2 linked regions of the Struthio camelus genome follow. The protein of the gene in region 1 purifies or fractionates together with the protein of each later gene. This does not show direct contact. Links are inferred from orthologs where the notes say so. Each region holds a gene or a part of one and is shown on either strand. Other genes may lie near its edges.

Region 1 (7,548 bases):
TGGTGTGAGCCCCTGGGATAGTGCTACACCTCTGTTACACCTTCTGATCCAATAGAGGATCCATGGTATTTCACCACAATACGAGGGAGGAGATCTTACCCAGAAGGAGTTTCAGCCTTCTGAAACGGAACATCAACACATTAGCACTCACTATGAGCAGGAGAGCCACTCTGAGACTATCCATACTCCCCAAATAAAGAAACAAAGTGTGCTCACTGAATGCTGTACTGGATTTAAAAACAGACTCCTTTCCCCAAAACACAGAGTCTGCTATGTCTGCTATAGCAATATATAAGGGAGAAATATTTCTGTTGTTATCCTAGAGGTTGGCTTATTAATGTTCAAAACCCTACACAAGATATTTGATTACTGTACGCATGGCATATTGGGTCAAAAGTGGAAGTAATCTGAAAATGACAAGACACCCTTTAAACAGCCCAGGAGCTAACCTGCCCCAAGTCATGTAGTTAAAACAAGCTTTTTCTAGTAAACAGTCTGAAGGAGGTATGGATCCGATATACCTGTATAAATCAGGCCTGAGCATGAAGCAGTTACACAAACGTAAGACTAGTGTAAAAGACACAAGCCAAGCTCAGAAGAAACATACAGAAGAACTTTCCACTAGTTAGAAGGTATTACATTTTGCACCCACAAGAGCCAGTCACCTCAGGGGCCTGGGGAATTTCCATGGCTGTCAATAATAGAATAGATACAGTGATAAGTAAAGGTACAGTTACAGAAGGAAAACACAGAAATGAGTATGTGGGAATTCCCAAAGATCTAAACCATAGTTTTTTAACGCATTGCACAGAAGTCATTTCAGACTAAACATGCTGTTCTCCGTTCATAATTTGATATATCTCTTTCTCTAGCTAGAAAGAGGTAGAGCTGAATAATTTTTTGATAGCGTGTCACCACGTTAGTTACCTCAAAAACAAACAAACAAAAAGGCCATCAGCAAGGGCTGAACACTGACAATCAGGACAATCTAGCTCGCTGCTGCACAGCTGGATCTCCTAAACCGGGGGCATTTTGTTTCAACGCCCTCTCTGGGCTTCGAGATTCCCTGCAGGAGATGTTACAGACCACAGACATAACAACTATTTTAATCAAAATTCTTCAGTAGCTGAACTTTTCACCGATTTGAGAGTGAACCCTTATACAGGCAGTGGGAACCAGTGGGAAAACATGTATTTCAGCAGCCAGTGCCATGGGAGAAAGCAGGCAGCATCCACAACACAAGCAGGCTCCTCACACATGCCAGGAATCCATCCTGCCAGTGGGTGATGAACGACAGGTCACGAAAGACCTTTTCAGTGGAGAGAATGACAAACTCACCAGGGAAGGCGGGCACAAACAGCTCTCAGGGATTAAACTGAACAAATACGTAACAAGATGCAAATGACAGGGCAGGGATTCACATCACCCAGTAACACTGTTTCTGCCTTTGCAGACAGTGATCCTCCCCAACTCTTCTCTCCTTTTCAAACAGCATCACTTTGATCTTGTCTGATTTCAGCTTAAGCCTGTAGGTCTTCAACTCACTGGCCTCACTTTCCTACCAACTTTCTGACTCCACTTTCTAGTGATGATACTTCTGCTGGCTGCAAACAAACACAGACTTGAGTGCCAGCATTGTTTTACTATAGCATTTGGCCTGCCCGCCAGGAGTCAAAGAAAACAGAAGACAGGTGAATAACTGTAGCTGAGGACCTTTGCAGAGGAGAGGAAATGGCTGCTCACTATTCTCCAAGCTCTGCTATCAGAAAAGGTAGAGAAAGAGGAAAAACAGAGCCCGAAAACTGTAGAGCCAAACAGTCCTAGGGGGCTTGCCTCAGTCCTACAGGGAGGGCCACAAGTATGTGCAAAGACTTATCAGCCAATCTCCCATAGGAGTCTGTGAATCATACTTTGCTCAAGACCACAGAATTGAGAGTGCGTTTTCTCCCTGATCACTGCACGAGCCACAGTGGGCATACAAATTCCTAGTATGGCTGCTTCCTGCAACGGCTTGCAACTATGATTCTTTTCGTAACTTATTCTTGATGGAATATTTCAATATGCATGAGGCAAAGGGGACGAAAACAGATCGTGTCAGTGCCAGAGTTCAAGGCCTGTAAGAACCAAAGCTCCTAATTCTCGTTGCTGTGCCTGGACATGGACAGAACAGCCGAATCCAACAGTGTGTCCAAGAACAGACTACAGGCATTCTTCTCTGCCACCAGTCCTTGTCTGTATGGCCACAATCACTTTCTTTTCTCATTATCCTCCCAATACATTAGCTCCTAACACATTTCCCCCTTCTTCCACCCCCACCTCACTTTCCTTGACCTTTCTCTGGTCTTAGAAAAACACTGCAATACAGTCAGTAGCACAAACCAATGTTAAAAAAAACTGATAAGGAAAACACTTAAGTTTTCATTGCAAGTATGCCTTTTGTACAAGCTAGAGATGCCTTCTGAGACATTAATGAAATTAACTGCAAATATTAACCTGGGTGCTTTCAGAGATAAGCCCTTTTACTTCTTTGCTCATTTGGACTTGCTTGATTTGCTTACCTGTTCATAGTAACTCATAAGCCTGACTATGAGGCAACAGTTCATTGGTACAAGAGAACTACTGCTTTAGAGGATTTTCACTGGCTTTTTTCTCTTTTAGTGGCTCTTCATGAGCAGGCAATAACACTGGCTGTGGAGATGAGTGGTCACAGCTTAATAGGTAGAACAAAACACCATGCAAGGCTGATGATGGGGGAAGTAATATGAAGAAAAAGAAATACTGCAGATGCACAAGTTCACCAATGACATTTTCTCAATCTTAGCCGTCATCTTCTAGTAAGTTTCTCCCAGAGGATGCAGTTACCCTGTTTAAGCTTCATTTCTGTACCATAAAACATTCACAAATCTAACTACTAACTTCATAGCAGGGCCTCATTTATGAAAACACTATAAGAAGGTAAATAAATTGATGCTAGATGTTTCATTAAATGGTTTACCAAATGTCAACCACAAAACTGCACCGTAACTAACAACACTTTCAGCAAATATTTGCCACAAACACCACACTCATTTACATAGTGGTTGTAACTTCTATTTACTATGTATGAAACCTGTATGAACAAAGCTGTAATTCTAGGAATGGACATTCTCCCTTTTACTTGGGAGGTGAAAAAGATTAAGCGGAGCAAAATGCAACTGCCGACACGTTGCCTGGAATTAAGGGGGGGGAAAAAAAAAGTCTCACACCAAGAACACAAGCATGATCGAGTGAAGAACCCCTGTATTATAGCTTAGACGTGATCTCCGAGAAATTTAATCTAAAACAAGCAGAAGTTAGGAAATGTCTCAGATCCATCCTTTACCTTGTTGTAAAGCTCAAAAAGGATGCAGCCTTTAGAATCCCACACAGCTCCCCTAAGCCACTACTCATTGCTGAAAGATGCAAGAAAAAAAATGAGCTTTACTCGCAGCAGCTGATACAACCATGAAAGTCCTGAATTTTAGCTCACTCTTCTCTACCATTTCTCCATTTGCTAAAGAAGGGATATCAATCTGCCACCTCCCAGGGTGACTGCCATAGAACACTTCAATGAGAGCAAAGATAACTTTTCCAGAAGAAGCAAGGTGTTTGTCATGCTGAACATGCCTCAGTCAACTCATCCGAGAAATACCACAGTGACAAGGGTGACAGAGAAACCAGGCGTATTTATTACAAAAAGCCCATGGCACCTAGAGTCAGTTGCCAGGAGGGGAAGCCATCTCAGAACTGTGGTTCTAAAGGAGTGAGACCTTCCTTCCACATGTCTGACAGTTATTCAATACAGACTGCCCTTAAGCGCGCCAAGAAAAAAAAAAACAAACCACAATCAGAACCCATATTATCAAAAAAAACTTACAAATCTCAGTGCTTTTTAACTGAGTTAATTAATAACAGGAAGCAAATAAAACTTTGGAGGGAAAGAATCAGAGAAGTGCAGACTTGTATCATGATTGTTGTCATCACCACCTCTTTTTGGTCCTTCTTGGCAGAGACATTATTTTTTGTGAAGAATACAGCTTCCAGATAGCCCATGATTCACTGCTGATGTATCTGTTAAAACCTTACTTGGACTCCCTGGGAAGCGATCCTTGCACTCTGCATCTAATTGCTGTTTTCTTCAGATTTCAAGGATGTATTCTCTTAACAACACAGACTGAAAATAGTATTTCCACTGACATTTCCAACAACGCTTAAGAATCATACTGCTCGGAAATGCTTCCTCACTCGAAACAAGGACTGAACAGACTACACTGCTTCTGCAGGACAGGAAAGCAGGTCCGTACTTCTCCCCTGCTCTACTAGGCTGCTACAAACTCAGGTGCCAGGAGACTGAATAAGCATGGGAATCAGAAAATTGAGGCCACGCGGCCCCTTGCAGGATTGTGAACTAACTACATAGATGCAGATAATTCCTCTTGCAAATTCTCTTGAATTCCATGAGGAGACGCCTTCCAGAGTGATTCCTAATTGACCGTGTCCTTATTTTTCTAATTTTCAGTTGACTGGGACTGTGGAATTTGGAAGATCAACTGCTTCCTTAGGGTTGATGATATCTTTGGCATCTGCTTCCATCCATTTAGTACTGCTCTTCCCACTTCCTTGTTCACTTCTGTCAGGATGGTTACCAGGTCCTTGCGCCTTGAACAAACATGAAGAAAAGGTACATTGAAATACATGGTACTTTCAACTAGGCCAAGAAGTTGACCTATGTTTACTCCAATAACATGAGATCTTGGGGAATGTTGGTATCTTCCCGTCATCCTGTCTGTCACTGAAATTGCGCGCTCTGTTGTGTAATCACAGCATTCAGTATGTACTGGGGAATAAAGTAACCTCTGTGTAGAATCACTTTACAAACAAACACACTCCTTTACCTTGGTTATGGTCAAAAGACAGCACTAAGATGACACAGAAGCAAATTTATGCATTTTCCAAGCCGTCCGCTGGACTTCACGAGAAAGCGGTGCCTGGAGAGAAATGTTATTTTCTAAATCAAGTTTAGGGTTGGGAGGTGGACATGGGCGAGGAAACAGGGAAAAGTACGAATAAAGGGTACTAATTTTTTGCCTGTGTACTCAAGCAACAAATTTGCCTGTCATCAGGTGTCACTGGAAGAAAGATCCCTTGTCATTTTAAAGATACATTAAAACAACATGTTCACACTTGTTTTTATGTATTAAACACTTGTTTACACACTTGTTTTACATGCTTTTTATGTTTTACACACTTGATGATGTGTGTTCAAATATATAAACACAAACTTGCTTATATGTAATGTTCCAACATTACAATTCTGGTTCCGTAACAGACAAACTAGGTAAGTCACTTGAACTTTGCTTCATCTGTAGAAGAAAAATAACAGTGCCCACTTCCGGAATAATTACTAAGCAGACACTGCTCTGCAGGTGAAAAGCATTATATAGAGCAAATGCAAAACAGCCATGTTTCAGCACAGCATGCTTAAGTATGTATTTCAACAATACCCCAGTTGTACCTGGGTTAAAAACAGTACTTACAGTGGGCAAAGCAACTCCATTTTGTCACAGAGGCACTGAATGTAAATACTGCCTGTCTTTGCGTGGCGGTAGCACTCAAAGTCTTCCACAGTAGCCATGCCAACCAGAATATCAGCCTGGTCGGGAATGGAAACCAGAGGAACAGCGTCTGTCTCAAGATGGTCAGAAAAGTCTTCTTTTAATGTGACAGCTGGATGACCTACAGACCCTTGGCAAGCCTGGATGAAAAACAGCTTGGGTTTTCCAGCAAGAGAAGGACAGTTAGATCCACTAAAGCAAGAGAGCAAATCTTTAATATTTACAAACTCCCCATCAACGCCTTTTATTTTGTCTTTTTCACCATGTGAAAGGACGAAGCAAACAAAACAGTCCATTTTGCTATGATCTTTCTTGCTGTATTCTTTAACTTTTGCATACATTTGGTTTGCTTCTAGATCCATGTACTCAACTGTCTCAAATTGAAGCCACTTAAAGACTCTCTTCAGCGCCTCTGTAAAAAGAAAGTTGGAAGGCACTTGTTAAACATGAACAGTGATAAGGAAGATGAGGAAACTGAAGGCTCTGTGTGGTAGGATAGATACTGGCAGAAGCATTCAGATCCCACCAATAAACTCACCTGACTGACACTCAGCCTGCCAAGTTTTAAGAAAAATCAGGGATGCCTAATTTTTTTTTTTTTTTTTAAACACAACAGAGGTGAACATCACACTGTCTAAAACAAAAGTGGATTTCAGATTATCTGATTAATCAGTACAATTTAGTGAAGCTTAGTGTGTTATGCAATGTGTTTAACCGTACGCTGCATAGCAATCTCAGATGCTTAAGAACAGCCCTTAGTTAGATAAAGAAGAAGTATTTCTTTAGCATGATAAATTCTGCCACTCTTAAATGATGTAGGTTCCTTATTATGTGAGAATGATCAGTGCAGAGAAAAGGAAAGGCCACTAACAAAGACAAGGTACCATGCAGACTTCTCAGCAACCGCTGACTTGGTGTTGTGTTGGCAGAGAGAAAACAGCTGGGAAACAAGAAGGCTGCAGACAGGTTAAGGTTAAAATGTTAGTGATGTATGCTTTTATAAGACAGATTTTAGTTTATCCAGATAAACAAATGACTCTCGCAGGAAGAAAGACTTAAGGAAAATGATAAAGCAATAGAATTGCATTTATTTGAGCACTGCTGCAAATAAATGCAATGCTGACTAGATCAGAATGCTTTCTCAGCTGATAGCATGGCAAAGCTACACCTTTCACTCAGTAAATTAAGCAAAGAAATCATTAAAGAGAATTTAAGGACTTAAAAAGTGTTACTTTATGATAGTTAAGAAGTAAAAAAAAAAAAAAAATCAAAACCTGAGAAGACGGAATAGTAATCCCTCCTTCACTATTTGATATATACACAAACAATTAAGATGATACTCTTTTTTTTCAACCTTCCTTGAGCCATCACCAAAATTGTTGGAAGTGGCATATTTCCAATTTTTGCAGTGACTGTCACTCTAGTTACTTATTCTGGAAGCAAAGGAGCTTAGTCAAAGTGGCCGTTCTTCACAGGAAAGATTAGGCAATTCTTTCGGAGGGTAACACAAAAAACCAAACCAATAGTTGGATTTTAAAAAGTACTTACCTCCATCTTTCACTGTTCCTTTCCTCATGCCTTCAGGATTTTTAAAAATGTAGTTGTTAAGAATCACACAGTAACCATGGGGGTTATTTTCCATCCTATATGATTCCACAAGCTGTAGAAACACAGAAAGTAGGTAAGAAAGCAGTGCCAAACATCCAAGGGATGTATGCTCTGCAGAGATCTTTGCTCTTCCGTGCCCAAACACGAAAAAATCATGAGGGCCAAGATACAAAAAAGGAAAAGCCCAGACATACGAACCAGCCCTGGGTACAGGGGAAAAAATGCTGCTTCCTTTTCCTGAAATCCCTTCTCTCAATCTGTGGCTGCAATTTGATTTTGGAATGGAAAGTGGATATCCTGAAACATG
Region 2 (7,548 bases), on another chromosome or scaffold:
ATTGTCCAGCGTGGGCATTTCCCACTTTGGTGTCAAGTGTCCCTGCTCCTGGCCACGGGGCGGGGGGACAGGAGCCGGGAGGAGAGCCAAGGCTCTGCTCAAACTCTTGGACTCATTTTATGTTCCACTTGCAATAGAGCTGCGGAAGCAGGGCGAAACTCGGCATCACAAAACTGCGGTGGGTCCCCCCCGGCTTCTCCATGCACTTCGTTTACGCCCGCCGCTGCTCTTGTGGTGCAATCTCCCCGGCTTCTGAACGGTTCCTGCTTCAGACGGAGCTGCGGAGACGGGGAGGCCTGCGGCGATAAGGCCTGGGGGAGTGACAGGGGGCCTGTCTGTGAGTGATAAAAACACCCCTCTCCCGCCTGAGACCGGTGCCTCGTCTGCAAATGGGCCTTAAATGGAAATGCTCTGCGTGCCAGCTCTGTGCATGGCTGCAGCCAAGCAGTGGAAATTCTTGCTTGGCGGGTGAATGACGTTACCGGCCCTGGGAGTCCCACCCGGCGCTGCAGCATCTGGCTGGGATGGGGCTGGGGAGTGGGAGAAGGCTCACATCACTCAACTCGCTCATTAGCTTAAATACCCACGGCACAGCAGAAAGCCGTCTTTGCTCAGAGCTGTGGAAAAGCTGTGGTTTGTCAGCACAGATAACTCCATTAGTCCAATTGTATAAACAGAGAGAGTGAGACAGATGGACAAAGAACTGCAGCTTCGCAACAAGTGTTTGGCAGAACGGGATTAGGCCTTGGGGTCTCGGTGCTGAAGGTTGTTCTCACCCTGCTGAGGTGCACCTGAGGGCACAGTGTACATTATTGGGCAAACTGGGAAGCAGCAGTTCTAAAATATGTTCTCACTTCTGCATCCCCTTGCCCCATGTGCAGCCTCCTGCCCATATGGATTTATGCGATCCCATAAATGCCCCATAAATGGCAAGTCCCATAAATGGCGTCAGGTTGGTTTTTTTGGAGAGTAGACAGACAGGGTCCTTCACAGTCCCGCTGGATACAGCCAGGGTGCCGTATCGCACAAAGGCCAGGCATGGCCATCTGAAGTTGCAAATGCAGTAAGGCTGTTAAATAGCATTTATTCTGACCTAACTGAAAAATGAGTTGTTCTCTAAGGCCCTGAATCACTTGAGCTGAAGTCAGTGGTATCTAGAACACAGAACACATGGTTTTGGTTAAACAAAAGGCCCTGCATACTTTTGGGGCCTGTCATATAACTACCCACCCAGGAAACAACCAGGAATTCCTGATCTACTTTAAATCATACTTCAGCTTAATTATTTTCTGTGTAGACAGGCCCTAACTTCTGCAAGGAGAAAACTAGGTTTCCATGGCATGGCACAGCTGGTTGCAGAAACGCTCACTCTCTCAAGAGTTCAGTGCCCAAAGGGGAGATGCTTCCCAAATATCCGTGGCCCGAGCGTGGACACTGCTGGTCTGCTTGGATCCAAGGAGCCTTCCTTGCAGGCTGCCTCCCTGCAAAGCTCTGGAGATGCTGAAGATGCCACTGAACTGGTCAGCAGCCCTGTTTTCATCCAAATTTTCAGTGCACTGAGCCACTTCCATGAAGAGCAGCTTTTCCTGCGGAGCGGCCAACCTCCTCTGAGCCTTGTCACCCAGTTGCAGGCTCTCACCCACAGTTGCTCTTCCTGGGCCTGGACTTGAAAAAGGATCAGTCACTCAAGAGTTACTGCTGGGGCAACTACATGCCCAGCCTCCGGTGAGTCACATCCCCACATGCATCCCGGCTAGGGCTGTAACAGCATTTCTCAGGGAGGGAGCATTTTCCAAAGCCCTGGGCTATTGAATGCAGCTAACACAAACCGAGCCCTAAGTTCAAGTCTGGTACGGAGTCTAGGAAAAGATTAACAGGTCACAGCTCCTCCATCTCTCCATCTCGGCTTTGTTTCGGTGGAGTAGTTTGTCCCACTCGCTATCCAAATGAGCTCACTGCAGAAGGGCTAGCGGTGTAATGGCACAAAGTCCAAAGGTTTTCCTTTCTTATTTTTTTTTTCTTTGGGCTCAAGCCTGCAGAAAACCGCGTGGAATTTCCCCACTTTCCAGCTCAGAGGCAAAAGTTAGGGAGGAGGGGTTTTGAAGGAGGGGTGAGGGTTTTTGCTGAGCCGCACCACAGCCCACAGGGCGGCTTTGCACCTCGTGCCCGGCCACCGGCCCCTCCAGGAGCCTTTTGCGTCTTCCTGTAAACTCCGTGCTCCTCGCTGGGATTTCTTGGAAGCAGGAGGGGATATTTATGTAACTCCATTTTCCCCGTAAAACATATATTCTTGCTCACTTGAGGTTTAGACGCTGCTATGATGGGGGGGGGGAACAAGCTGAGAAAGCAAAAGGTGTCAATGAAAAGCCCCTCGCAGAAGCATTCGTGAGGGCGCTTGTCTGATCTGGAGGCTTGAAAACCAGCCGTAACTATTTTCCCCGACACACCCCCCCCCCCCACCCATCCACCCACCAACACGAAAGCGCTAAAAAATGAAAGTTCCGCGGCAAGCCGGGCGGGTTCAGTTTTCGGCCCGGCCAGTGAAGCTGTTAACAAAAGCCGTGCTGAAACCTCCGTGCGGCTTCCGAGCGGCGGCGGCGGCGGCGGCGGGGCCAAGCGTGCGCGGGATGGAGGGGGGGGCAGCACGGGCCAGCCAGCCGGCCGGCCCCCTTCCTCCTCCTCCTCCTCCTCCCGGCCCGGCCCACATCGCGTATTTAAGCCGGCCGCCGGCCGCGTTGCGGGAGAGTGAGCGCACCGGGGGCGACCCGGAGCCGACCCGGAGCTCAGCCGAGCCGCCCCGACCCGGAGCCGGCCCCGCTCCCGCGCACGATGCGCGGCGCGCCCCGACGGCGCTGCCGCCTCCTCCGCCTCCTCCTCTTCCTCCTCCTGCTGCTGCCGCCGCCGGTGTGTGGGGTCCGGGGGGGGGGGGGGGCGCCGGGCGCCGCCGCGGCATGTCCGGGCTTGCTGCGCCGTCGGGGCCCGGCAAGGGGTTGGCGGCTCCCCCTTCACGGGAGTTACTGGGGGGGGGCGCAGAGGGTGGCTGGGGGGGGGCAGCGGGCGGAGGGGGGTCGTAGGGGCTGGAGGGGGAGCAGTGGGCGGAGGGGGGGTCGTAGGGGCTAAGGGAGGGGGCTCCCGGGGGCAGCGGGGGGGGCTCACCTGTACGGGGGGGCAGGGGCTGGGGGGGGCTCACCTGTATGGGGGGGGCTCCCAGGGGCCGTGTGGGGGACTCTTGGGGGGTTATGGGGGGGCTCACCTGTACGGGGGGAGGCTCCCGGGGGGTTATGGGGGGGCTCACCTGTACGGGGGGAGGCTCCCGGGGGGTTATGGGGGGGCTCACCTGTACGGGGGGAGGCTCCCAGGGGCTGTGGGGGGGGCTCACCTGTTTGAGGGGGAGGCTCCTAGGGGGTTATGGGGGGCTCACCTGTATGGGGGGAGGAGGCTCCTAGGGGGTTATGGGGGGCTCCTAGGGGCTGTGGGGGGGGCTCACCTGTATGGGGGGGAGGCTCCAAGAGGCTATGGGGAGGCTCCTGGGGGTTATGGGGAGCAGGGGCCATGGGGGGCTCACCTCTATGAGGAGGGGGCTCCCCTGGTGTGTGGGCTATGGGAAAGGCATGGGGGTTTCCCTGGCCCAGGGGCTATGGGGGCTCCCCTGGAGAGCTTGGGGGGGGGCTGCAGGGGGCTCCGCAGGAGGCTCGTAGGGGAGCAGGGACACGTGGGGCAGGGCGGAGGCGGGAGCGCGTTCCCAGCCCGCCGGGGCGCGGGGAATGGGCACGTGCGCCCGCGCGTGGGGCGGCCGGAGGACTGGAGGGGATTTCCACTTCCTCGCTTCCAACGGCATTGTTTGCCGTTCCGGGTCGGGATCTTGCGGCGACACCGAGTCCGTGCGGACGTTCGCGCCACGTGAACGCAGCGGGACGTTCGGAAGTGTCCGGGCTCTGCTGCGGGCCCTTCTGTGCCGTCTCGTGTGGGGATATGTGATTTTAGACTTCCCCAACGGCAGTCTGACTCCTTAGCGTTGGTGACTTTTAGGATAGAAACTCCCACCCGCCCATACTGTATTTCTTGGGTTGGAGGTGGCTATAGCTCGGAGAGGTGCCCAAAGTCTCGTGTCGCCTGCAGTCAGTGGGAACCCTGTCCCGAGGATCCCGGGACTGGCCCCGATTCCTGCCGTGGCGCAGGAGCGGCTCTGGGACGCGTGGTTGCTGTTTGCCTGCTGGAATTGCTGCCGCTGAAATCGGCGCTGCCTGTAACAGGTTTTTAAGTGCCTCATCTTCTCCGGTCCCTTCCCGTGCTGTTTCTGTGAGTTGCACAGGTTAGGTGATCCCTTCTTGAGTCTCCCTGCTCTTTGCTTAGACTTGCCTGTATAGGCAATAGCCTTACCGACCCCATCACCTACAGGCCTGCTCTTACTGGACTTGTTTTCTTTTATAAAAAATAAAAATAAAAAGGGAGGGAGAACTGATCAGGACTGATGTTGGCCCACGTGATAATCATACGATATTATGGCTGCAAGTTGCTTCCTCTGCACACCATGGCTTGTTGCATCATGCCTGGACACGGGCCACAGGCTCGTGAAGAAGAAATCCTCCGAATTTCTGTATTTGCGGGAGCTCGAATTCCATCCACATAAGGTCTGCAGGGAAACCCCAAGTTCAGCAAACTTATTCCCTTGGAGCAGAGGCGTGTCAGTTGTCTGTGAAGTCTCTCTCTCACTCCTTGTTCCTTAACACTGTTGGTGCTCTGGGATTAAGAGCCTCACTCCCTACATCAAGGGTTGACATGGTTATTAATACTGTCTAGATGCTTTGTGGTGGTCAGGAGTTCAGTTTGTGGGCTATCTGCTGCCATAATGGTTTGATTCCTTCCTTGGGATCACTTCAGGAGGAAACCAGAAATCGGTGGTAGAGGAGAGAAGGTTCAAAGATCGGCACTTCCCAAAAAGTCTTCTCCAGGTCTGATCATCCAGACCGAATAGAAAGAGGGGTTTAAATTCATGGTCGATGAGGATATTGGAAATTACTATGACTGATCATTCTTCAGCTTTGGGGCAGCATTACTTTCTTTGGATGTTTGCTACGGGTGAAAAGTACTCTTGAATACCATTGCTTGCGTTGAACTTGACCTCCCTATGCAACTTGCTTTAAAACTGGCTTTTGCAGTGATAAAATAGCTGCCTGTGCTGGAATTGATCAGGCAAGTCTTCTGATGCTGGGACAAGCTGAAGTGTGGCTGTATTTCTTTCTCCCTAGGCTTTTTTTTAAAACCTCTTCTGTGATCTAGGCAGGGTCCTTCCCTCTGTTTTTAAGTTAAAGATTTTTTTGGATTGTTTTGCTGTTTTTTGGTGAGTTCCTCCGTCTCCTGGCAAGTTAGCTGTGCAATTAAAGGCTGAAGGTGAGGCCACCCGGCCCAAGGAAGATGGAGGTTTGCCCCTGGATTGCCACAGTGACTTGCCAGCAGGGAGGGCCAGGTCTAGAGGTTATCATAATCCTAGGGTGAAGTTAGTGCTGGTTGCAAGTGTCCTGTTAGCACCTTGCAGTGGGTGTTGGACTGGGTTTCTCCAGGGCCAAGGTATGTTGTGGTGGTGTCTGGCCTCTGGTTATCAGTATTTTGGAGCAGGCAAGGGTAAGAGCTGGCGGAAAGCATCATAGGACACACGCTTGGAGCAGAAGGGTCCAGGCTCTGCTATGGGCATGCAGCGACTCTCTGAACCCCTTTTTGCCCGTTTCCTGGACTGTAAAACTGAGGCCACCTTTTGCCTGTGGCTCCTAGGCTGGCTTATCTCAGTGCTTTGCAAAACTGATAGGTTAGATTCCTACCTGCAAAGGGCTCTGTCAGGACGATGTACTTGAACTGCATTTGCTCTTGAAGGTGGTGTGGGCTGATAACCTTATCATGCACTTGTGCAAGCTCAGGGAGAGCACTGAAATCCTGTGCCTGAGGGGCCCTCTGAAACAACAGATGTTGTTGCTGTGGTTGCCTTCACGGCTTGGCAGGAAAACTTTCTTGCCCATGAGGGCAGTCAGGCAGTGGGACAGGTTGCCCAGGGAGGTTGTGCAGTCTCTGTTCTCGGGGGCTTTCAAGGCCAGAATGGGTAAAGCCCTGAGAACTGCAGAGGGTAAAACAACTTGTGACTGGAAGGTAAAAGCTGAGTTGTCTCCTAAGTTGGATGCAAAAGGAGTTTATAATAACTTTATAATAAACTCTGGGAGGCAGCCAGCAGGAGATCTGCACCTGTACTTTGCAAAACCCCAAATGCTATAGAGCTGGTAGTTGTGTTCGTGCTCTTTCTTACGGTTGGGATATTTGTCTGCATGAGGCCTGAGTTTCTTTGCTTTTTTTCTGCGCTGTCTGGATTAGCAGCGTGCCAGCTCTAGGATCCCAGTCCTGCGCTGAGGTCCAGCTTCCTCTTCTTGCTTCCTGCCTTTAACCGTGTAGCTACCCAGAGCTCTTTAAGCAGCTGTGACACCCCAGGGGAGGTGGGAAGTTCAAGTTCCCGATGAACTGTGTTATCTAAAGCTCGGGTAACACTAATGCAGTCTGAAGGAGGTGGAGGAACCGTTGCAGGGCTCTGAGTTGGATTACTCCAAGCCAGGGTCTGGAGATGGCCATATGCCCAGGCTGGCCATGGCTGGGGGGTTTGTGCCTCTCTGGCTCCCCATGTTGCGGCATGCGGGGCGAGAGGGACCATCTCTGGCCAGTGCTCCTGGAGGTAATGGAGGGGAATCGTGGCTTGTGGGCAGGCTGGTCTGAGGAACCTTTTTTTTGTGGGTGCTGTGCTGAGACCCTCAAGCCTGCTGCGGCTGGCTTTGCGCTCACACCCTTCCTCGCAGCGCGCTGGCTGCCGGAGGAGGAGGGGATGTGGCTCGGGAGGTGGTGCGGCTGACTCAGACAGTGTACTGCTTGTGCTTCTATTGTCTCCACCGTTCTTTCGAGGCAGCTTCTGACTCATAGAAGAAATATTTGTTTCAGGAGGCAGGTTTCGGGCTGGCTTGGAGTATAGAACTAGAAAGGGAAATGGCTATTGCCACACAGTCGCTGCTGTGCTGCCCCATGCATGGCATGGGAGGGGACTGCCCCTCTCGGCTCAGGCTTCTGTCCTTCTACCTGGCTTTGCAAAGGGACAGAGGCTGGTTTGTGTCCATTTGGCCTCCTGACACAGTGCTAACTTGTGCCCAGTGCTGAAAAGTGCTGGGTGTGATGCTGAGTGGTCCTTTCCCATGCTGGCACAGGGGTGGTGGTCACAGCCAGAAGTCAGGGTGCACCCAAAACCGTGATGGAGAGAGTGGCCGTTCCTGTCCAGCCTTGTCCCTCCACGGCTTGAGTGATCGAGCAGATGCAGAAAGAGCTGAGCCAGCAGAAAGGTGTGCAGTGAGCTGGAGGAAATGGGGCCATGGGCTTCCTGATCCTCAGCGAGATACAGGGGACAATACGGAAATGCTCAAGGCTGCACTGTCCTCTGGAAGACCACGAGGCAGAAGTGCCCACAAGAAACAGCGGGGCTGCGACGAGCCAAGCACCAGCCTTGACGTATGGCTGCCTTCCTCCCCA

What was found. The genes of interacting proteins can lie anywhere in the genome.
Region 2: the proteins of CASP8 (region 1) and tumor necrosis factor receptor superfamily member 10A-like purify together in Homo sapiens (affinity purification with western blotting; 14 studies listed by BioGRID and IntAct, counting the BioPlex papers as one, with this or other methods). This does not show direct contact. The link is inferred for Struthio camelus from reciprocal best matches to the Homo sapiens genes CASP8 and TNFRSF10B.

What each region holds. Positions count from the first base shown.
Region 1 is NC_090947.1:10,352,568-10,360,115, forward strand, and holds the start of CASP8 (caspase-8), read right to left. Parts: upstream 4,022-7,548; 5' UTR 3,896-4,021; exon of another isoform or gene 3,685-3,895; intron 3,554-3,684; exon of another isoform or gene 1-3,553. Other genes in the region: caspase-8-like, read right to left, coding at 4,527-4,677, 5,556-6,045, 7,182-7,293. UniProt on the Homo sapiens protein: Thiol protease that plays a key role in programmed cell death by acting as a molecular switch for apoptosis, necroptosis and pyroptosis, and is required to prevent tissue damage during embryonic development and adulthood.
Region 2 is NC_090968.1:5,190,522-5,198,069, forward strand, and holds the start of tumor necrosis factor receptor superfamily member 10A-like, read left to right. Parts: upstream 1-3,704; 5' UTR 3,705-7,197; coding exon 7,198-7,527; intron 7,528-7,548. UniProt on the Homo sapiens protein: Receptor for the cytotoxic ligand TNFSF10/TRAIL. The adapter molecule FADD recruits caspase-8 to the activated receptor.